Linked DNA regions of Oreochromis niloticus. The protein of the gene in region 1 binds, or shares a complex with, the protein of each later gene. Links are inferred from orthologs where the notes say so. Each region holds a gene or a part of one and is shown in the gene's direction. Other genes may lie near its edges.

Region 1 (7,478 bases):
AGGTATTACAGGTACTGCGCTGCAGTGGTTTGTATCATATCTATCTAATAGACTCCAATTTGTACATGTAAATGGAGAGTCCTCTTCACACACTAAGGTCAATTATGGAGTTCCACAGGGTTCAGTGCTAGGACCAATTCTGTTTACATTATACATGCTTCCCTTAGGCAGCATCATTAGAAGACATAGCATAAATTTTCACTACTATGCAGATGACACCCAGCTCTATCTATCCATGAAGCCAGGTAACACACACCAATTAGTTAAACTGCAGGAATGTCTTAAAGACATAAAGACCTGGATGGCCGCTAACTTTCTGCTTCTTAATTCAGATCAAACTGAGGTTATTGTACTCGGCCCTGAAAATCTTAGAAATATGGTATCTAAGCAGATTCTTACTCTGGATGGCATTACCTTGGCCTCCAGTAATGCTGTGAGGAACCTTGGAGTCATTTTTGACCAGGACATGTCCTTCAGTGTGCACGCACTCCAAGATTGGAGACTGGGGAGGACAGAGGCTTTCAGTTTGAGAAAACAAGACTATGGAACAGTCTGCTGCTACGCCTACATTTAGCTAACTCTATTAAAAAGCAGTGTTTGTTGTTGTTTTTTTTGTTTTATTCTAACCAGGCCTTGTTTTGAGACTTTTGCTGACAGCAGTTGTTTTTGCATTATTCTGTGCCCAAACTTGTTTTGTTGTACAGTGTTTGTCACTACTTGCCTGTGAAAAGCTCTTTAAAATTTAAGTTGACTCACTTACTTTACAGAGTCCAAAGACAAATGGGTGATGTTTTGGCTACAACCATTAATTATATATTTATATATATTATTTAAGGTTTTCTGTTTTACCTCTAAACAGATTTAAACCTAGAACCTAAAGACTATGCTTACAGAGATGACGGTTTTTCTGTTTGACAATTTACTGTAAAATGTTTATTTTTTTAGGTTAAGATGTTTTTTCCACTGAAAATTCACAGTCATCCCTAACATGATTCCAGATTCAACCCTTGGAGAGAAACATGCTTACAGCCTCAGTGAAGGAAAAATATCAAACATTCGATGCTGAGGAGGATGATAGAGACGATGAAGATAAGGCAGAGTTAATGAGCTCCACTGAGGCGAGAGGATCATAAATACAGCTCAAACCTGTCACAGCCCACATGATCCAGGTGTGGGAGCATGTGTGTCTCTTTCTATGTCTGAAGTTTGATGATGTACTTTTTTGTGTTTAACTTTTTATCATTCAAATGTTATTGATTTAATATTGTTTTAACTATAATGACTTTAATGTTGTTTTGAAAATCAAGGATAAAGAGTTAGTGTGATATAGCTGATAATTATATTCGTTCATTCTTGTTCATTAGTGTTTTGAACATTGATGTTTTACACTGAAAAAAGTTCTTTATAAAATCCATCATATCAGTGTGACTATTTAAACAATAATGATGTAAACATTTATTCTTTAAATTTCATAATTTATAATTTTGACGCTTAACTCCAAAATTATTATTTAAATGATTATGTAAACACAGATTATATAATCATATGTGAAGTTAAATGTAGATATTTTGTTGTTAATCATCTAAATGTTGTTTTTAAAGCAAAGATTTAAAAGATAAAACTTAAAATATTGAGTTAAATAGTTCTTTACTCGATCGTCTGCGAGAAGATATATGTTTTGAACACTGATAATCTAAATGCTGATGATTTTATTTTTTGACACTGATGATGATAAATGATAAAATTGTAAAGATATTATGTTAAAAATGATTCAGTTGATTGTTTAAACTGTTTTAATATGTAACATTTTTATATGTTCATAAGTGTTGAAGATGTGAAGAATGATTTTAAACACATATAATATCGATTTAAATGTTAGTTTAAGTCTTTAAATGCTGACATTTATTTTATTGAAATAATAAAAGAGTAAATGTTATTAATTTAAACAATTATACAGTTTGAACATTTAAAGTGTTGATGATTCAAAGGTTGATTTAAAACATTATTCAAGTGGTTATAACCTAAACGTTGATGCCTTAAATGATCATTTAATGATGTCATGATAAATTGCAAATTGATGATCTGATATTGAAACAATATTTTTTCTGCTTCTGTTTTCGATTTGATGGTTTAAACTTGTGTGCAGCTGTTCCAGAGCTTTCTGTCAGCTGACACCCTCAGATTGTTGTGTCTCCCCCGATGATGTCAGCAGGGGTAAACGTGACCTCACTGCCCATCCTGGTGACATCAGTGACCCTGGACGGCCTGGCGCAGCTGTCCAATCAGCGGCTCTTCTTCTTCTTCTTCTTCCTGTGCGCCTACCTGTTCATGCTGTGCAGCGACAGCCTGGTGGTCTACGTGATCTGCTCCCAGCGGAGCCTCCACCGCCCCATGTTTGTGTTTGTGGCGGCTGTGCTGATGAACTCTGTGGCGGGCAGCACGGTGTTTTACCCCAAACTCCTGGTGGACCTGCTGAGGGGGGGCCGCTCAGTGCAGGTGACCCTGCGTGGGTGCATGTGTGAGGCCTGGCTTTTATATTCATCGGGCACCTCCAGCTTCCTACTGCTAGCAGCCATGTCCTTTGACCGGTACGTGTCCATCTGCCGCCCGCTGCTCTACACCGTTGTCATGTCTCCAGCCACAGTGCTGGCACTGCTGCTGCTCTGCTGGCTGCTGCCTGTCGGGCTGGTCGGCACTGCGGTGCTGCTGGCGAGCCGCCTGCCGCTCTGCCGCTCGCAGCTCAGCAGGATCTACTGCGACATCTACAGCCTGGTCAGTCTGAGCTGTGGTGGTCGTGAGACACTGCTGAGCGAAGTCTACAACCTCTCGGTCATCGTGGCTACTGTCTTGCTGCCCGCCATCTTTGTGCTCTTCTCTTACAGCGCCGTCTTGTCAATCTGCCTGCGGCGCTCGCGCAGCTTCAGCAGCAAAGCACTGAGCACGTGCCTGCCGCACCTGCTCGTCTTCTGTAACTACAGCGTGAGCTCTGGGGTGGAGGTGCTGCAGCGCCGCCTACAGGCTGGCAGTCAGCCCACAGCCTCTGTCCTCACCTCCATCCTCCAGGTCATGATCCCGACTGTGTTCAACCCGGTGGTGTATGGCCTAAAGGTGACGGAGATCAGGGCTCAGCTGAGGAGGCTGCTGGGCTGCCAGAGAGCTGAATAACCCACAGAACCAGATCCTGAGTTCTGGTCTCTGACTCCACTCCCATAATCAGAAAAAAGGTCATAAATATTTGTTTTGTAATCAACATTCATTTTCATTTTATGCTCTTTAGTTCATCCACATCTTGTTGGGGGAGGCAGCAGAGGGCCTTGAACTAGACTTCCTGATAAAGAGGAACATACTGCAGCACGTTCTGATGTGGCAGCTGTATGCAGCTGCAGCATTTGCACACAGCAACAACAACAACAGATAAAAGTCCCCTCAGCAAATAATATGGGCAAAATCCAGCAGTTCAATATTCAGGCCACAGAAACTTCTCACTATATAAAGTAACAAAGTTGAGTTCTGACTGCTGTTTGAATATTTTAAAAACAGTCTGGATTCTTCTTGTTTGGTTGTATTAATCAGTCTTATCAATTCTTATTGATCAATTATTCAGTGGAAACTGCACTCTTAGGTCAAAGGTCACACAGACCAATGAGTCATTACAAGTAAAAAGAGAAAAACAGGAAATCATCACTTTTCACATGTGGTACTATTTCCTGTCAGTCATTCGCTGTCAGACACTTCTTCACTGACTATGTGTTAATAGACCTCTCTGCACTAAATCACACTTGTTATTAATCTCTGGCTCTCTTCCACAGCATGTCTTTATCCTGTCTTCCTTTTCTCACCCCAACCAGTGGGTCCAGATGGCCCCGCCCCTCCCTGAGCCTGGTTCTGCCGGAGGTTTCTTCCTGTTAAAAGGGAGTTTTTCCTTCCCACTGTTGCCAAATTGCTTGCTCATAGGGGGTCATATGATTGTTGGGTTTTTCTCTGTATGTATTACTGTAGGGTCCATCTTACAATATAAAGCACCCTGAGGTGACTGTTGATGTGATTTGGCATTGTATAAATAAAGTTGACTTGAATTGAATTTATTTATTTATTTTATTATTTATGTATTTGAGTATTCAACAACAACAACAAAACACATCTGCTGTGGCACAGAAAAGCTAACTGTACAGAAAAGCAATCAGTTAGACCGTAACTTATTATTACATGCATACATCTTGATGCTCAGTCATCCAGGTAAGGAAATCAATTACATACATAAATTAAATTAAATAAAGACAAAATTGAATAAAAAGACTATATAACATTTATTAAAGGCACAAAAACATTTACTTGAGTAAAATTAAGTTTACAATTAAACAAATGAGCTTAATTATTAAACAATTAATTATTTTTTTATTTGTTTTTAAATTAATTGTTTTTATTTTTGTCGACAGGGTGCGCTGTCTGCTGACACGCAAACTGAAACACGTTTTGCGCATGCTCAGTCGGATCAGCTGTTGGTCCGTTGCTTTGTGAGAACGTGAGAAACTGAGCCGCTTTTGTTTATTTGTTTGTTTGTTGTTTTCTCCGGTAAACACGATGGCTGGCACAGCGCTAAAGAGACTAATGGCCGAGTACAAACGTGAGTAACGCGAGCCGCTTTCAGCCAATGGGAGGTCTTTTAATGTTAGCTAGCATGCTAAGCTAACAACCCGCGAGCGCCTGTATCTCTGTACGAAACTCCGTTAAAAGTTCGGTCGGTTTGAGCTTTTCTTTGTTGTCCGCGTTTGTTCTTCTCTCCTGCGACTCAAACCGATAACCTGATGAATGTCTGCACAGTGTGAATAATCCGGTGTCGGCTTTGTCCACCTGCAGTTTAAACCGCGGTATAATTTGGAGCTTATATAACGTGTGTGTGGCGTTATCCAGAATGTTCCATGTAGCTGCCGTGATGTAACTTTCAAAACTTTTCTAAAGTGTGATAAATGAACACAAAGTGCGAACATCATGTTTATATGCTGATTACAGGAACACAGAGCGCAGGTGGAAAACTCGCTGCGAGGCTTCAGCGCTGCACTGACACGGCGGCTGATTTGCCTTTTCTGAAAGTGATAAATTTGAAGGTTTTTAAATGTAATTTGGTGCATTGAGGGCTAACGATAAGAACTTTAACTGGGGGATTAGCCTCGGTACACATTCATATTTAGGCCTGTCATTTATTTAATGCGCTCATTTCAGGCTGCTACACTTTAATCTTGTGTAATAATGTGAATTCTGCACAGATTAGTCGATGCATTCAAGATTCAAGAACTTCATTGTCATGTACACCGCAAAACACAAATGGTTACGCAGAGCAATGAAATTTTTACTTTGTACGTTCCCTTCACACGACTAAAAGAAAGTAAAACAGACAAACAGTGCTTTGTAAATCTTGTAGCTTATGTGGGTGTAAACAGAATTTAAAGTGCAAGTAGTTGCAACACTGTCACAGTGATAATATATACAGAGTATATATTATGGTGTATATGTAGAGCTATGTATAACAATTGCAACTTTACAGGTTAGGGGTAATTACAGTTGTATTATGTTGTGTATAAGTGTGCAAACTTGATGATTTACAGTTATGGATAAACAGTTCGACATAGATCATTGTGGTAAACCTGATTGGTATTTAAGATAATTGGGAAGTCTTTTATAACTGCTTTCTTGCCTTAGGCTGTTTTTAAATGAATAAATGTTAATCGTTTCTTCAATATGGGAAAGCAAACAATCCATCAGCTGTTTAAAAATGTGACTGATACCGGATCACAGCAGAGGTCAAAGGTCACTCATCTTTCTGTGTTTGTGCTTCAGAGCTGACTTTGAACCCACCTGAGGGCATCGTGGCAGGTGAGACACCAGAACACATCTGTAGCTTCTGCAGATGTGCCCTCAGATGTTCAGTGTGTTGTTCTAACAGTCAGACACCCGAGCAGCTCTGAGAGCAGGAGATTTAAAGAGTTTGTGTTTGCTGTGCAGGTCCAGTGAACGAGGAGAACTTCTTCGAGTGGGAGGCTCTTATCATGTGAGTACCCCGTCTCCATGGAAACACACGTTTGAGTCATTTTTGGGTGTTTGTATTTGTTTTGGAGTGTTATTGTGTATGTGTCAGTTGTAACTGGACTCTCACAGCCGCTTTATTGGGTACAGTTTACTAGTACTGGGTTAGAGTAATGGTACATGGTAAATGGCCTGTATTTGTATAGCGCTTTACTTAGTCCCTAAGGACCCCAAAGCGCTTTACACATTTAGTCATCCACACATTCACACACTGGTGGAGGCAAGCTACATTGTAGCCACAGCCGCCCTGGGGCGCACTGACAGAGGCGAGGCTGCGGTCATTTCCCACACTGCTGGCATCGTCATCACACAGCTGCTTCTGTTTATACTCGCTGCTACAGCCCAGGAAGCCGCTGCAGTGTTCTCCTGAACAATTGGTGTTGCCACTCGGACGATTCCTCCACATCATCGCTGATATAAGACCTGCAGCAGTGGCAGCTAGTGACAGTGGAAATGACGTTAGCTCTGTTGTAAGGTGCTGTTTGCAAGGCAGCGCGTAGCAGGTATAAAATGTCCTTTAGCTGGTGGGAGTGGCACCAGTGTGGTCTTCTGCTGCTGTAGATCATCTGTTCTAAGGCTCAGGGGTGCTCTTCTGCATACCTCGGTTGTTATGAGTGGTTATTTGAGTTCCTGTTGCTTTTACTATCAGCTTGAAGCAGTCTGTCCTCACACCTCAACCAGGCATTTCCCCCGAGAGGACTGCTGCTCACTGGATGTTTTCTGTCCTTCAGACCTTCTCTGTAAACTCTGATGTTTCATATCAGCAGTTTGTGAAACACCCAGACCAACACTCACGTTCACAGTCACCTGAAGCACTTCTGTGAGCACCAGCATTTGTCTAATTTGGCTGTTGCACAAACGAGTTGCTTTCACTTCTATGCTGGGTGCTTAAAGGTCAGGCTCAGTCATGAAAGCAGCGACGGATCTCCGTAGATCCACTAATCACACTAATTGCATTTAAAAAGTGAACGATGCTGCACCCTCATGGCTTTAACCTCCCGTCTGCTGGGATCAGTTGTCTGATCCTTTTATTAGCAGCTGTTAGTGTTTGTAACAGGCTCACCTCTCTGTATTTGTTTCGTTAACCTGTTTCACACTTTATGCCAAACTCAGAAAGTAAAAACCTGCAGTTTGAGTCATGAATTCACCCTCATACCTGTAAACCATGGCAACTAGACTCACAGGTTCAGTGTGACGATGACCGAGTGAGACCAGAAGGTGTCGCTGTTCTCAAAGTGTTGGAGATGAAACACAGCTATCAGTACACTCCCCAGTAACACAAAGTTAAGACAAGTCAGTGGATTTATGGCTGAAAGAAAACAGAGCAGGAAACAAGACAACACAAAAGTGTTCAAATTTAAACGCTGGGGAGTAAAAATGTGTCTTCAGGCGGATTT
Region 2 (8,101 bases), on another chromosome or scaffold:
AGTTTGTGCCTTTGTGGGCAGAAAAAGAAAAGGCCAGCAAAGAGTGGTTTACAGGCTTTTTAAAGCGGCATACAACATTGTCACTGAGAAATCCAGAAGCAACTAGCCTTGCCAGGGCAAGTAGCTTCAACAGAGAGAATGTCAATGCTTTCTTTGACAACTTAGAGAAAGTGTTATGCAAATATGAGTTTGGACCAGGAGACATTTGGAATGTTGATGAAACTGGGGTCACCACTGTACATAAACCAGACAAAGTGTTGGCCAGACGTGGATTCAAACAAGTAGGGTCATTGACCTCTGCTCAAAGGGGAACCCTTGTCACACTGGCCTGTGCTGTCTCAGCCATAGGGAATAGTTTACCTCCATACTTTATTTTCCCGCATGTCCACTTCCGTGACCATTTCCTGATCAACGGGCCACCCGGCAGCAAAGGAGGGGCAAATTCCTCTGGATGGATGAAAGACACACACTTTGTTGACTTCCTGCAACATTTCAATGAACATACAAAGTGTTCAAAGGAGAAGCCCTGTTTACTCCTTTTGGACAACCACGAGTCTCATCTGTCCATTGATGGACTCAATTATGCCAAAGAAAATGGCATAATCATGCTGTCATTCCCACCCCACTGCTCACATCGGCTCCAACCATTAGACAGGTCTGTCTACGGGCCACTAAAGAGGCACATCAACAGCACGTGTGATGCCTGGATGAGGAACAACCCTGGGAAGACAATGTCTATTTATGACATTCCTGGGATTGTGGTAATTGCATATCCTCTGGCTGCAACCCCATTGAACATTCAGGCTGGTTTTAGGGTGGCTGGGATTCAACCTTACAACAGAAATGTATTTCTGGAAGCCAAGTTTGCACCATCCTACGTCACAGATCGCCCTATTCCGGACCCTGCCCTGCCAGGCCCCAGCACCAACTCTGACCTGCCAGGCCCCAGCACTACCTCTGCACTGCCAGGCCCCAGCACCAACACTGCACTGCCAGGCCCCAGCACCACCTCTGACCTGCCAGGCCCCAGCACTACCTCTGCACTGCCAGGCCCCAGCACTAACTCTGCACTGCTAGGCCCCAGCACTACCTCTGCACTGCCAGGCCCCAGCACTAACTCTGCACTGCTAGGCCCCAGCACTACCTCTGCACTGCCAGGCCCCAGCACCAACTCTGCACTGCTAGGCCCCAGCACCAACTCTGAACTGCCAAGCTCCAGCACCATCTCTATCACGAGCTCACCCTTACCCAGCACTGCAATTACTGACAGCGGACTACCAACTCCAGAGGACATCCGGCCATATCCAAAAGCTGGCCGCCGAAAACCATCCAGCAAAGGAAGAAAACGACGCAAATCAGCAATTCTAACTGACACGCCAGTGAAGCAGCAACTAGAAAAAGAAAAGAATAAGGCTGAATCTAGCAAAAAGCTGTTTCAAAAGAGAGGGACGCGAGGGGGGAAAACATCTGGACCTATGAAGAACAACGCAGCTAAAAGAAGAAAAATAATTCAAGAGTCATCATCAGATGATGAAGAGTGCTTCTGCCTTGTCTGTGTGGAGCCATTTTCAAACAGTCGTCCAAAAGAGACCTGGGTAAAATGCGTAAAATGCAACAAATGGGCCCATGATGCTTGCACCTCAGGCCAGGCAATTTATGTGTGCCAGAATTGTGACTCTGAAGTTGAGTCTGATTAATCAGAAATAGGGCATCTGTTTTGTTCAGAGGATAAACATGTTAAGTAAAGCAAGTTATTTGCAGCATTCCATTCAGTTATGATGGATTTATGTGCAAGCCAGAGAACATTTGAGTTTAAAGTTCAAACTAAAGTTTTCTTTCTACTTAATGTTTTGATTAAAATGTGTATTGGATTGAAATAATTGTTTTTTTTCCAAATTCTCTTGGCATAATTGTTCAAATTTCCAGTTTTGGTTTGAATTTACTAATTAAAATCAATAATCACAATTAAGTATTTGTGTTCTTATTTTAAGATAATCTAGTGTGACAACTTACCTGCCGATGGGGCAAATTGTCACAAGTGCACATTCTCCATTCAACAGTCTACAACTCCGTAATGAGATAAGATATGAAAATGTAATGAATACATCATATGTGCCCGAGACTTCCTTCTTTCATTTGGTGAAACATTTATTACGTTGTGATGTATGGTGCTCAGTAAAAGTTAGTCAGTGTGAAAAGTGTGACAACTTACCCCGCTCTCCCCTACACTATGTTACTCTGTTTGTGTCGGGGGACCCGATCCTTGGGGTGGACCAGTTTTTGGCGCAGCGTATTTTGGGGTTTAAAAGCCACAGAGACGCGGTGTTTAGAAAAAATGCGTCTCAACTGTTCCGATACTCCTGACACATATGGGATCACTACAGGTTTTCGCCTGGGCAGCGGTTGTCCTTCTCTCCTGGATCGGCTGGAGCTTTCTTTAGGTGTCTTCCCAGCTTTGACAAAAGTCCAGCTGGGATAACCACATTTACTCAGGGCCTTCTTAATGTGCTGTTCTTCTGCCTCCCTGGCCGCTGTGTCAGTGGGGATGGTGTTCGCTCTGTGTTGTAGCATCCTGATGACACCCAGTTTGTGCTCCAGTGGATGATGAGAGTCAAACCTTAGATACTGATCCGTATGCGTAGGTTTACGGTACACGTCAGCTTTTAGATGTCCCCCATTACTGATGGAAATCTCACAGTCTAAGAAGGCTAACCTGCCACTTTTCATATCCTCCCTGGTGAATTTGATGTGTTGGTCCACCGAGTTAATGTGATCCGTGAAATGTAGTACGTCCTGAGATTTGATTTTCACCCAGGTGTCATCCACATATCTGAACCAATGGCTTGGTGGTGTTCCAGGGTAGGATAGCAACGCCCTCTTTTCCACTTCTTCCATGTACAAATTGGCCACGATGGGTGAAACTGGGGAGCCCATGGCACACCCATGTTTCTGCCTGTAGAACTGACCCTTGTATGTGAAGTAGGTGGAATGAAGACACAGTTCCAAAAGCAAACACACTTGGTCGATGCTGAGAGTGGTTCTGTTGCTGAGGTTGGTGTCATCCTGTAATCTCTTACGGACTACCTCCAACGCTTCCGTGACTGGGATGCAAGTGAAGAGAGATGTAACGTCGTACGAGACCATGGTTTCATCTGCCTCCATAATGACATCTCTCACCTTCTCAACAAAATCCAGGGTGTTCTGGATGTGGTGTTCAGAGCTGCCCACCAGCGGGTTGAGGATCGAAGCCAGAAACTTGGAGATGTTATAGGTGACCGAGTTGATCATGCAGATAATTCAGTTAAGAAAGAGTGACCTCCAGTGGACTTTGGGTGGTATTGTAAGCACCACCCAAAGTCAGAGAAACTATTTTCTTTTATCGTAACAAATAAATTCAAATACTTTAGGTGTAAATGTTTTCCTTTAATTGTACAACTAAAAGAAATCTCTTTTTTATTATAAATCTATTTTTAACGAATTTACTTTACATATGCCAAATGAAATTCCCGAAAAAGTAATCATCTTATGAAAGAACAACAAAACAGATCTAAGCATATAGCTTCAGTGCCGCAATTTCAATGAAAACTATACTAAATATAGTTGAATATTTTTTCTTTGTGGACATTAACGATATTGCACAAAACACCTTGAAAAATGCAAGATTAATGTGAGGTTAGTGTTTTGATATACACAACGCAGAAAATGTAAGATAAATGCTTAATTTATCTTCAATTTTGATTTTTTTGTTAAACAAAACAAACATACAACAAATAGATTAAATATAAAGAAAGGTATACAGTTAAGTCGAATAAAATATGATAAAACAAATGTCTTAATGCGGTAAAACGAATCTGAAGTCCAATTACTAACAATAAGTATACATTTAACTTTCAAATAACTACTAAAATATTTGAAAATTTCATACTAAATATATTTTTAAGAAAGAAAACAGAGAAGAAAAAGAAGAAAAACATGACATGATATTAAGGGGATTAGTATAACGTGAAATGTGTAAACAATGCAGTGCAATAAAGTGTCTTAGCGTGTACGCACTAAAAGCAGTTTGAAAGCACAACAAAATGGTTTTAAATTTAAAAATAATTGTACTATAAACACGAGCCTAGAGGTGAAGTCGTTTCTATTTTTGTTGTTTGCACCAAAAATACACCCAATCCCAAGAAAGAGCGTCCATTCTTGCGTGTTCCGGAAACTCCCACAGCTTACTCACTGATTTAGTTTTCCACAATATAATCAAAAAATTAAATCAACACATATAAAAACATTTTCTTTTGTAATCACGGGGCAACGAGTTATTAGTTAAATTAAACTGCTGAATGAAAATATTTATTTTGTAATGACCGTGATTATAAAGTTGTCGTGATGGCGCTGTTACGCAGCTGCGCAGACGGAAAGCCTTCCTTCAGCTTTCAGCCAGCTGTCTGCTCGGTGAAATAAACATGACGATGTTGTCAAGTATCGTGTTCCCAGTGCCACAGGACTAAAAGTTCAGCACTGACTGCAACAGGGGAAGCCGGATATTGTGTTTATTTAAATCTGTGACAAACTGTAAGTGACCATTTAATACAAGTCTAGCGTTTGATGGTTGTTAACGGTGGCTAGCATTAGCTAACCACTAGGCTAAGTGTTAGGTAACATTAGCCAGATAAGTAACTAATGTTATGGGAGTGAACTCCCGTTTGTTCCGTAAAGGTGTTGCTCGTTGATGATGATAAGCCATCTTTACTTGCTTTGACTAATTTAATTATTCCACTTAAAGTTAAACACGGTAGTAATTTTTGCTAAAGGGAAGTTAGCACTGCTTGGCGGCTGAGTGTAGGTTAGCCAAAATGTTTAGTAAACGTAGATGTTTTGGGGGGGACTAACTTTTTAAAAATTAGAAAGATACATTTGCTGTCTGTGTGTCCCAGTTGTTAAAGCTTAAAATTCGTGCGTAGCCGAAATGGCTGCCATCACATGCTGTCTTTGCTCTATTTGCGTAATATTTACTCTTTGTCCCGTAAAGTTGGGCTAACGTCCCTACTGCCTTCACAGGTTGCTGGACTGACACCATTTTAACAAGCTGAGAAGTGGACTCGTAGCTTGCGATTGCAATGCCTCTGCTGTTTTTGGAGAGGTTTCCTTGGCCCAGCCTGCAGACCTACACAGCACTGAGTGTGGCTTTGCTTGCTGGTAGCATCTTCAGTGCCTACACCACAGTAACTGACCCGGGATTTGGGGCCTTGGAAACGGATGAGGCACAGCCTCCCTCCGAGGTGGAGCGTGAACTTCTAAAGAATGATATTAGTAATACAGAACTGGCAACAACTGTCCTGTGGTATCTTGTCACAGACAGTCTCTTTGTGTGGGTGAGTGATTTTAGTGCATTGTGTGACGTGATGGTGATTATGAAGTTCATACAAAAACTAATGGTGACTTTATTATCTGCATACCTACAGGTGTTAGTGAACACATTCTGCTGCTCGTTGATGTTAATTGCTAAAATGATTCAGTACGTGGTGTTTGGCCCACTCAGAGTCAGTGAGAAGCAGGTAAGTCTGTGTTGTTACAGCTGTTTTTACTTCTTTCAAACAAGAAGCAAATGGTCACTCATCTCATTTCCTGTCTCCTTTTTTTTTGGTTCATCAGCACCTGAAAGATAAATTCTGGAACTTCATTTTCTACAAGTTCATCTTCATTTTTGGTGTACTGAACGTCCAGACAGTGGAGGAGGTGGTCATGTGGTGTCTGTGGTTCTCCGCACTCGTTTTTCTCCACCTAATGGTTCAGCTCTGCAAGGATCGCTTTGAATATGTAAGTATTTAAAAAAACAAAACAAACAACAACAAAATCCAATCATCACTTTAGACAAATACGACTAGACTCACGTTGCATTTATTGTCTGTGGTTATTTCTGTTTTATGCCATTTGACTCCTTGAGCCAAGCTGTTTCCAAAAGTTTGTTTGTTTTTTCAATCAAGCTTAACTAAACCTTCTGTAACCTGGTGGGGATTGATTTGGGGCACTTGAGAAGAGACTTAAACCAGTGTAAAAGAAAAGGGTACCCTGGATCGATAAAAATGCAACTTTCATCTTTACATGGGGTGCAGCACAATAATAGTATTGTCTTAATTGTGGTGTTCCTTTTTTCATATTTGTTGGAAGCCAGACTTGAGAACAGCTAGATTTATGAGAATCAAGGGTTGAAGAATTAAGCAAATGTACTTAATTACTGACTTTCTCAGTGGCTTATCTAATCACAGTTAGAGTAAATTACATTAGCTAACAACGTTGTAGTTGTGTAGATTTCATGGGTAAAAGAAATGAGAAATATGTTTAATGGATATAGGATTAAATATAGGATTTAAGATTTTTTTTCCCATTATGTATATGCAGCCTAAAAGCCTCTGAAATACATGTGTCATTTCAGTGGCTTATCGGAGAGTAGTGCATCACCCAGTGTAATCATGGGTGATGTACCTTACTTGCTCTTTACCAGATATCTGCAAAGCTCTTTGAACTCTTGCCTGTTACGAAAGGAATCACATGTTACTTAAGAAATATCAGATACTGTTAGAAACAGTATATCATAGGAAATGGTCAGTGTGGTGTTAGGCAAGCTCATGGATCATGAGCTTAACTGCAAAAGTGTACATTTACAGGAAATTTTTTTGTTTCTGTGCTTTGAAGGAACTCAGTTAAAAAAAGGGGGGGAAATCCTGCTTCTGGAAGGGTTTTTTGGTCTACCCTCATTTTGTTTTTTGTGTGGGTGTTTTTTTTTTTTTTTTTTTAGATTTTTCTATATTGGATATTAATTCTGCGCTTTAACATAGGTACCGGTGCCAGTCTATTATATGTATTACAGGGGTATGCTTTCTGTATTGTGTAATTCAGTATGTATGTAATACGCATGTATGTAATAAATAGAAATCTGCCACAGCAGATCTATGCCACAGCAAAGCTTGGCAAATCTAACTCTGTTCCTACTTAACCGTTTCTGAATATTAAACACTAAGCCAGATTTATCCACCTGAGCAATACTTCAGTACACTTTCTATAAATGCTTATTTAAAAAGTGTGCTTTCCCTCAGTAGACACAGTGTAACTGTACTCTTTTCAGCTTGGGATCTATTAATAGCTTTTTATACTCAGATGTTGACTGTGACTACTGATACAGTTTCAGTTACTATGCTAACATCTCTCTATCAGAGTGTATTCTGTATGGTGGGGAAAACAAAATATCACATTTAAATACCTTCTTATGAGTGCTGACATTTAAAACAAGGTTTAAGTTGTTTTAAATGTCAGTTAGACATTCAAAGTTAGACGTGATGTAATGCTGGCTGCCTTAGTATACTAGAAGGTTATTTCAACCTGCCATATTGTAAACATTTCATTTTGATGTGATTGTGTTCCTCTTGCTGTTTTTGTTTCCGTCTTTCAACTTTAACTGTAAATTTAGGTTGGAGGTAGTCCGTTGTTTGCCCAGCTGTTTCCCCTTTCTGTCTTCCTGTCACTGTGGTTTCTTGCTTTGGGGTGAAGATAAGAAATGCAGGTTGTAGTGCTGAAGGTTTAGCTTGGAAACCTTGTGGTCTTTGTGATACCGAGCAGCTGGTTTTTATATTTTTCACCTTAGTTGTAATCTATAATAATGTGCAAATTTGTTGTTATTTACACTTTGCTAGAAGTTTAGTTGTGCTAGTGCTTAGATATTTAGTGGTTGTGTGAGAGGCGTTTGTATTGATAGAAAAGGGTTGTGTAATCTTTAGAAGAGAGTACATGTAGGGTTTTCTCTCAGTATGTCACAGTAAAAATTGAGTGTGTTACTGAGCCTCTTAAAACTCTTGTCTGTAGCCAGTGGCGAAAAACATGAACTCTCTTTCAACAGCATGTTTCATGAGCATCTAAGTGAAATTTTCCACTGTTTGACAAATAATTGTTATACTTCCTTTGTCTACTGATGTCCACTAAATTAATTTATAGCTGGGTCTTTTTGGTAACAAAGTTTCACAAAAAAGTATCACGGTGGGATTTAAAGGCCATCCTGAGGAAATGATCTTTAACCTGCATAAACACTGAAAAGAAATCTTAGGACATGAGAAGA
Region 3 (7,771 bases), on another chromosome or scaffold:
ACTTTGAATTTGATGGCACCAATATGTGTCAAGAAAGATGGGACAGAGTAAAAAAAAGAAAGACTGGAAAAGTAATTGGTACTAAAAGAAAACAGTTGGCGATACATTCTGCAAGTTACAAGTAATTGGATTAACTAAGAACAGGTGGGTAACATGACTGGGTACAAAAAGAGCATCTTAGAGAGGCGGAGGTTCACCAATCGGCAAAAAACTACATCTACAACTCGTGGAAAAATTTCAGAATAATGTTCCCCGACATAAAAATGTGAAGACTGTGAATATCTGATGATCTACAGGACAGGATATCAACAGATTTCAAGAATCTGGAGAAATCTCTGAGCACAAAGGACAAGACCAAAAATCAGCATTGGATGCCTGTGATTTTTAGTCCTGAGGCAGCACTGCACTATCATGAAAAAAAGAATGTGAACATGATGAAAACATGTTCAAAAACCTGCAGCTCTGACAATACAGGGGTGTATTAGCACTGATGGAACTGGCAGCTTTCACGTCTGGAAAGGTGCTGAAAGGTATATACAGAGCGACACATGCTCAGAGCGACACATGCTCAGAGCGACACATGCTCCCTCCCAGATGATGTCTATCTCAGGGAAGGCCTTCCGTATTTCAGCAAGATACTAAACCACATACTTCATGTATTGCTTTGTGGTAGAAAAGTCCGGGTGCTGAACTGTCCTGCCTGCAGTCCAGACCTTTCACATAGAGCCCATCATGTAGAGACCCAGAACTGCTGAGCAGCTAAAATCCTCTATCAGACAAGAATGACACAACATTCATCTCTCCAAAGTCCAGCAGCTGCTCGCCTCAGTTCAGTGCATTTATTACCTGCTGTTAAAGGAAGAGGGGAACCTACATAGAAGTGAACATGGCCTGAGTTTTTTGAGATGAATTGCTTCCATCAAATTCAAAATAAGCTCATATTTTCCTTAAAAGAGTCTGATTTTCTCAGTTTGAACATTTGCATTCAGGTGTGAATCCAAACAGGCTTTGATTACGTAAAGTGTTCAGTGTGTTCAGACAGGAATGTGACACAGTGTCCATACGTAGTATGTGGTATGAATGAGATTCAGTCACTCACCCTCCTGACTGCTGTAGACTTTATTGTACTTAGTCATGAACTCTTTAAACTGGCCCAGCAGCTCTACCGACTCCTAATGCAAACACACACACAGAATCAACAACAGAAAGCCTCGATCTCAAATCTAAATTGATTAGAACAGTTTAAAAAAACAAGCAGAGGCAGATAAAACCACAGGCCTGTAGCTGTAGAGCCTGACATAATTTTACCTCCAGAGGCTGGCTGGTGGATGGATCCTCTACCTTGTTGCTCTCTTCTACTTCAGATTCAACTGATAAGAGAAATGAAACACAGGAAGACATGGGAAGTGTGAGAGTATTTAACAGTTAAATCAGTCAGTCAAACTGTCATGCAGGTTGCTGCAATTCACAGTTTTCACAGACAATTTTCAGGCTCATAAATATGACAGAAAGAAACGACAAAAATACAAAAAACAACATAAAATCACTGCCTCCAGTGTTTTCAAATGCAAATATGTAGCGTCAGTATGATTTGTTATTGCTCATGAAAGCCTTCTTATAGGTCTAAATCACAACAACAAAGAAGAGCCTTAGGCAAATGTTTACTGTTGATTTTGTTCTTTGTTACGCATGAAAAAGGGGTTAACATTCGAACATGTCTTTGTTCAACCTTCCACCTCATTTATCTCTTTGTAAAACAAGCGTGTAAAAAAAGATCTCATGGCCTGACCGGCTGTTCAGTGACAATCAGTAGAAATAAATGAATTTTAAAAGGATTTTTCTCTATATGTGCTAGGCCTGCCACAATATCACATATCACATCATGGGTACTGTGGTCAGAAATATCTTGAATAAGTTATTATGATAGAACAGAAATGCTGAACTCTTTTAGTGGTTTTTTTGGGGGGGGGGTAAAAAAAAGGGCTAAAAAATACTTGTTGTTGTGTTTTTGGATGATAAGATAATCAGTGTATTTTTTCACACCACTGTAAGGGAAGACCAAGTGAGCCACAACTATGGTGTTCAGCTATAAATGTCTACCATATGACAGCCATAATGGGTGGTTCTGAATCTTAAATGTTGGATGATCAGTCTGTTTGGCTGCTGACTGACCTTTGGGCTGGCACTTCTGTTTGAGCAAGGTTGACGCCCCCTGCCAAGGGATGTCCCACACCTCAAAGATGCAGACCTCTGTCTGAGACATAAAAAAAATTTAGAGGAAAAGCTATAACAGTTATTATTTGTAGGTTTAGGTCTCTTGTAAAAAGCCCCATTTATAGACTTACTTATAACTTAGATATTTTTAGTTGGGAAGAAAACAGGAACAAAGAAAAAAAAAGAGTCAATACTGTAAATGAATGCAAGCGTGAATGAGGCATAAGTGAGATTAGGATCACTCCAAGTCAAAGTTGAGTCACAAGATCAAAACTAGCAAAACTGCTTTGACGCAATAAAAAATCAATACACAGCTGGATACACACACACACACACACACACACACAGCTTTTTTATTCTTAAATATAAACTCATATTACACATTCTCTCTGCTGCTTAATTTTTATCACAAGAGCTATCTCTCTCTCTCTCTCTCTCTCCCTCTCTCTCTCACACACACACACACACACACCCTACCTTGAGTTGATTTAACTCGGGATAGAAGTCACATGTCCTGAGCATGGTGGACTTCTTACATTGAGTGTTACTCAGCTCCACTGTTAAAGTGTAACGGATCCCTTTAACCAGCTGGAATACAGATGAACACACAAACATTCAGTCATCTTTAATTTAAGGACACAAAATCTTGGGATAAATAAATATTTTTATTTAGACGTGGTATAAAATATAATGCGTGTTATTGTTATATGGATGCTCGTTATGCTCCAAACAGGCCACACTGCATAGACGTTGTTAATTTAAAGTCAAAGACATAACTTCCGGCTGCAGTAAACGCGCATAAAATCTTATCTTGAACGCTTGAGAATAAAAATAGGTAAAATAAATAAATAAATACTGTTTTTTCTAAGTTGAAACCTCTTGAAAATTGTAGATAAATAGGAATACATTTTTGTTTGTCTTTGTTTAGGCATCCCTTGCTGAGCAGCGCAACAAAGACGTTTACGCTATTATTTTGAAGGTACATCACCCCTTTTTCTGGCCTGTGTTTAGCTAAAATGACGACCCTCCAGCAACGCTGTTGTTTACAAAAAACGAGCATACACAACGCTTATTACAATGACATAAATCGATAAATAACAAATTCTTTAACCGTTCTTTGCAAGTACACTAGAAGACCAAAATATGTTGAATAAATATTATAAAATCAGAAGGAAAGCCACCAATAATAATTATACCTGTTTGGTGGCAGAGATGACCCGGCTGACTCTGCGGAGATGCATCGCATTGGAGACCCGGTTGTATCGCTCCTCTGCAAAGGCCAGAGCCTTCTTAAGACCCGGGTCGGAGTCGTGGACCCAGATAGAAGAGCCGGGGGGCCCGAAGAGAGGCCGGTCGAGGTCCTCACCGAGTCCGAGAACCGAGCCCAGCACAACGGCCAGGGACAGCCACCGGATTAGCGGGCAACAGCGCAATATGACCACCATGTTGGCCCCGTGTGTTGTCACCGACTGAAAGGGCCGATGTCTAGTCTGCGCTCACTTAAATAACAGCCGTGTTTGTTTTCTTCACACAAAAATCGATTGTCAGTTAAGCAGCGATTATACAAGAGGCTATTGCCAAACACATCTGACAGGCTGTAGGCGGAGACTGAGCTTTAAAGGAGGGCGTGTTCATGATAATTCCCATATTTATTATTCAGGCAGGACTGTCGCTGATAGGTCTGTAGGGCAGCAGTTGTCTTTCAGTGCTTTCTGAAGCTGTTGTTTGGACATTTGGCTGATATTCGCTCACTTCAGTCCAGTCGTTGTCCCTGACCATTTTCAGATTATACTGTTTTCTGTTTGTTTGTTTGTGTGTTAAGGCACCGGGCACTGACCTATGAATCATTCGAGCATTCAAGAGATGAAACAGGGTGGTGCCTGCACTTCACAGACAACTTAGCAAAGAACCAAACAGCTATTAGTGGAGGTTCTGTCACCGTTTGGTGCTGCATTTCAGCCAGTGGTGTTTCAAGCTCTTTAGAGTTGTACAAACTCTGGTTTTGCCTTATATTCTGTATTTACACATATGTTTGCACATGTTTCAATAAATGGCTACACTTTCCCCCCCCTAAACTGCAGACTATAAACACACTAAAAAGAAAAGAGGGGCGACTAAAGACGTTCAGCTCATTATTGGAATAAATAAATAGATTCATTAAAATAAAATGGTAACATTACATACTAATGTAACACATTAAAATTTATCAGATTTCGCCACTAGAGGTAGACAAAATACTATAATATTTTACTAGCGTTTCCTTTAGGGGACGTCTTTAGTGCTTCTTTATTTTTTTTCTGCTGCTCTTTTATTTTGAAAGTATTGCACCTGACACTCCGATAAAGATGAACACACAGTTATAGATTACATGAAATCATGAAAGTAATTGAAGGGTTGGGTTGGGTACAAAGAATCGCAGTTTATACTCTTCTGTAGAATTTAGAAACGAGTATTATTTATATAAATGTACTTTTGTAGAGATGGCGCTTTTATTCTAGGGGATTCTAGCAACGGACCGGAAGTGGTGTCGTGCCGACTGAAGCCGTTTTCTCGTTAGCTGTGCTAGCGCTGTTTAACCACAAAGCTAACATTTTAAAGTCGTGCACTTAAGCGGTCTGAAAAGGCTGTACTATAATCTAACTAGCGACCCAGTTTCCAGTTTACCCACCGCATGACAGAGGCGCAGTCGTGAAAGTAATGACTAATTTATATTTAGGGGTCAGGTTGTATTTTTAGCATTAGCCTCTGAAGGTCTGACTGGCAGACATGGAGACTCGGGGGATTGAAGACATGTTTGACTTTCGTCGGTAAGTCAGCTAACTGCTAAGTAATGTAAAGTGCTCGGTTAACCTTCACTTAGCGCTAATTAGCGCAATAAGCGTTGAAGAAATACACAGAGGTTATGTCGTTGACGACGTTTATTATCAGGCAGCTAACCAGTATAGTAGAAGATGTATTAAATAATCTGGAAAACATGCAGCTAGCTAGCCGATATTGGCAACGGTATACTAAACAAGTCATGGATAGCGTTTGACATGAAACCTTGTCCAGTGCTAATTTTAATAAGCACGCCGATCAGTTGCAGCATGAAATGCGTGAACTAGCTAATCTTAGATTTCTGTTGGTTTCATGTATTCACTGCTTGCCTTGTGACAACCAAGAGTCAAGTTTTATAAGATACTTAAGTTCTTTGATCTTGACACAAAAGTCAGAGATTATATTTGGGCGCGTGTAAAGTGGAGAAAATAACTGACAGCAAAAGTAGTTGTCGTTGTGTACTTAAATACTTAAGTGTTTTTGACTTGAATAGAGGGCGGACATGAGGCCTGTAGATACAGTGTTAATGACGACTAGAGCGTTTATAATGAGGTTTCGAAATGTTCTCTAGCGCTTGAGTGCAGAGGGAATCGAGTAGTGACACGTGTAATATTGGTAAAAACGCTGAAACAAAAGCAGCGCTAACTCTGCAATTGGTTTTAATAACTTATGGACAGTACTGTGCCTCGAGCCACCTTTCATATCGTCAGACTTGATTGTATTTTTTGTGGTCTTGAGCATCGGTTCTCCAGGATTTCTGAAGGTCTTTCAACGTTATTCTTTAGACACTTGCTGCCTTTTCACTCATTTTCAGTCCAGTCCTTGTAACGGACCACTTAACACTGAATCTATGTTTCATTCAGGCATGAAAACAGTGTTGTGTCTACACATAGCAGACAGCTTGGCAAATAACCAATGTTAAATTACTGTGTTATCAGCAGTCTGTCACAAAAACATAAAGATAAAAGTTTGACAGACGTAATATAATACTTTTGTCACAACAAGGTGATTCCCATAGTGCTATTAGCTGAAAATTTGGCATATTGCAGTATAGTGTGCAGTGTCAAGTTAATTTGATTTTTGGAAACTGGATAAGGGGAGGACAAAAGAATTGGCAGTGCTTTAAAAATTATCAACAGCAGATGAGCCAGTAAAAGTCATGTCCTGACACAGGACCTGAAAGATGCATCTGGCCCTGCAGTTGATCCAAACAACAAAAAGCACCTAATGCAAGGGATGATGTTATCTGTTATCTTTACATAACAGAAAACTTGGTAACAAAAACAAGCAATTTTACATTGTATCTTTAGGCGCTTTTTTTACTTGCAGTCTATAAAAGAAAAATATATAAAATGTTCCCATTTCTTTAGTTGAATCTGTGAAAAATGCCAGAAATAACAGTTTGGCAGACATCGAATAATATGTTTGCTAGAAAAAGGTGATTCTCCTCAAATTTTCATGCCGAGATCTGCTCGTATGAAAATGTGAGGAAACTGGACAAGAGGAGGACAGATGAAGTGGCAGGCTTAAAATAATTATCTACAGCAAGTGTCTGAAAGTCATGTCCTCAAGAAACAGGAAAAAAATCTGCCATAGACCTGACAGGACCTTAGAGATACATCTGCCCCTTTAGTTAATCCAGCTACTGTTCACTGACGACTCACTGGAAATGGTCTCAGTGGAAGGGTCGCTGTCAAGAAGCCCTTCTTAAGGAAGGGAAAAGAGGAGAAAAGGATGAAGTATGAAAATTACACAAGATCAGTGGAGGTCAGTGGCCTGATGGAGTGATGAATCCACGTTTTTGGTTCAACTCCTTTTCAGTATGAACAGGAAAGAATTACAACAGTGAGTGTCTGCAGCCACATGCAAAACACAGTAAAAACATACCTAAATAGAAAAGCACAAATTGGAACACCATCAAGCATGAATTTGACTCCACAGACCCCGGACCTCAACATTATTCTAGAAGTGGTTGATCGTCTTGACAGAGAGAAGAGCTTTGAATGTCTTCCTAGAAGATTGGAGAACAATAGGAAAGCTTGGAATTGTACAAAATCTGTTTTTGCTTTATATATTTGATTTCAGTGTGTGTTTGAACATGTTGCAATAAATACCTGCACCTGTAACCATTTCGTATCAAAACATAAACAAATTATGGATGGCTCTTTTTCACAGTATTGTATCATTGGGTAATATTGCATAGTTGAATAACTATAGAGTGAAATGGTTAAACTCTGATGTGAGTTCATGCTATGGCTCAGTGCACATTTATCCAGTAATAAAAGGAAGAAGATCAGTAGGTTGTGACACATGCTGTCATTCAAATCACAGAATGGTATTTTTGAGGCTGATGGTGAGGTCTATATGTTGGAATTGGGAAATAAAAAAGGGGTAAAAATGTGTTGGTTCATTTGAAATATAATCAGCACAGGATAAAGCAGTCTTGCTACAGATCCCTTGGAAATCACTTAAATTCTCTCAACTATAAATTTACATTTAGATTTGTTTTTCTTTTGTGTTTTCTATTCCAAATGTCATTTTTTTGATTCTGCTCTGTTTTTGTGCAGGTTTCCCAAAGATGCTGTCGTTCTTCTGCTGTTGCTGATTTACTTTCCAGTCGGCATTTCTTTAATGTTCATACGTATTTTTATCGGTGTTCATGTGTTTCTGGTCAGCTGTGCACTTCCAGAGAGTTTTATAAGAAGGCAAGTATTGAAAAAGTGTTCTAATACCACATTTT

What was found.
Region 2: the proteins of ube2g2 (region 1) and E3 ubiquitin-protein ligase AMFR are in contact, whole or in part, in an NMR structure (PDB 2LXP), measured with the Homo sapiens proteins. The link is inferred for Oreochromis niloticus from reciprocal best matches to the Homo sapiens genes UBE2G2 and AMFR. Residues at the interface, in NP_003334.2 of Homo sapiens: Tyr13, Leu16, Thr17, Pro20, Gly23, Ile24, Val25, Ala26, Gly27, Pro28, Met29, Asn30, Glu31, Glu38, Leu40, Met42, Glu45, Glu50, Phe51, Val53, Val159, Gln160, Leu163, Gly164, Leu165; in NP_001135.3 of Homo sapiens: Ser574, Ala575, Arg578, Gln579, Met581, Leu582, Arg585, Lys586, Leu589, Leu590, Ala593, Arg594, Arg596, Phe597, Leu598, Lys600.
Region 3: the proteins of ube2g2 (region 1) and aup1 are in contact, whole or in part, in a crystal structure (PDB 7LEW), measured with the Homo sapiens proteins. The link is inferred for Oreochromis niloticus from reciprocal best matches to the Homo sapiens genes UBE2G2 and AUP1. Residues at the interface, in NP_003334.2 of Homo sapiens: Tyr13, Thr17, Pro20, Gly23, Ile24, Val25, Ala26, Gly27, Pro28, Met29, Asn30, Glu31, Glu38, Leu40, Met42, Glu45, Glu50, Phe51, Val53, Pro55, Lys156, Val159, Gln160, Ser162, Leu163, Leu165; in NP_853553.1 of Homo sapiens: Ser379, Arg382, Gln383, Leu386, Arg389, Lys390, Leu393, Tyr394, Tyr396, Ala397, Arg398, Arg400, Phe401, Thr402.

The regions. Positions count from the first base shown.
Region 1 is NC_031987.2:899,226-906,703, forward strand, and holds the start of ube2g2 (ubiquitin-conjugating enzyme E2 G2), read left to right. Parts: upstream 1-4,450; 5' UTR 4,451-4,581; coding exon 4,582-4,624; intron 4,625-4,849; exon of another isoform or gene 4,850-4,868; intron 4,869-5,835; coding exon 5,836-5,871; intron 5,872-6,000; coding exon 6,001-6,046; intron 6,047-7,478. Other genes in the region: olfactory receptor 10J5-like, read left to right, coding at 2,203-3,165. UniProt on the Homo sapiens protein: Accepts ubiquitin from the E1 complex and catalyzes its covalent attachment to other proteins. In vitro catalyzes 'Lys-48'-linked polyubiquitination. Involved in endoplasmic reticulum-associated degradation (ERAD).
Region 2 is NC_031965.2:27,579,446-27,587,546, reverse strand, and holds the start of E3 ubiquitin-protein ligase AMFR, read left to right. Parts: upstream 1-5,080; 5' UTR 5,081-5,111; coding exon 5,112-5,366; intron 5,367-5,456; coding exon 5,457-5,549; intron 5,550-5,646; coding exon 5,647-5,811; intron 5,812-8,101. Other genes in the region: endochitinase A1, read left to right, coding at 456-1,697; si:dkey-148a17.6 (leukotriene B4 receptor 1), read right to left, coding at 5,008-5,071. UniProt on the Homo sapiens protein: E3 ubiquitin-protein ligase that mediates the polyubiquitination of lysine and cysteine residues on target proteins, such as CD3D, CYP3A4, CFTR, INSIG1, SOAT2/ACAT2 and APOB for proteasomal degradation.
Region 3 is NC_031966.2:32,624,999-32,632,769, forward strand, and holds the start of aup1 (lipid droplet-regulating VLDL assembly factor AUP1), read left to right. Parts: upstream 1-4,680; 5' UTR 4,681-4,980; coding exon 4,981-5,021; intron 5,022-7,598; coding exon 7,599-7,736; intron 7,737-7,771. Other genes in the region: ctsf (cathepsin F), read right to left, coding at 1,100-1,172, 1,309-1,370, 2,173-2,254, 2,692-2,802, 3,411-3,659. UniProt on the Homo sapiens protein: Plays a role in the translocation of terminally misfolded proteins from the endoplasmic reticulum lumen to the cytoplasm and their degradation by the proteasome. Plays a role in lipid droplet formation. Induces lipid droplet clustering.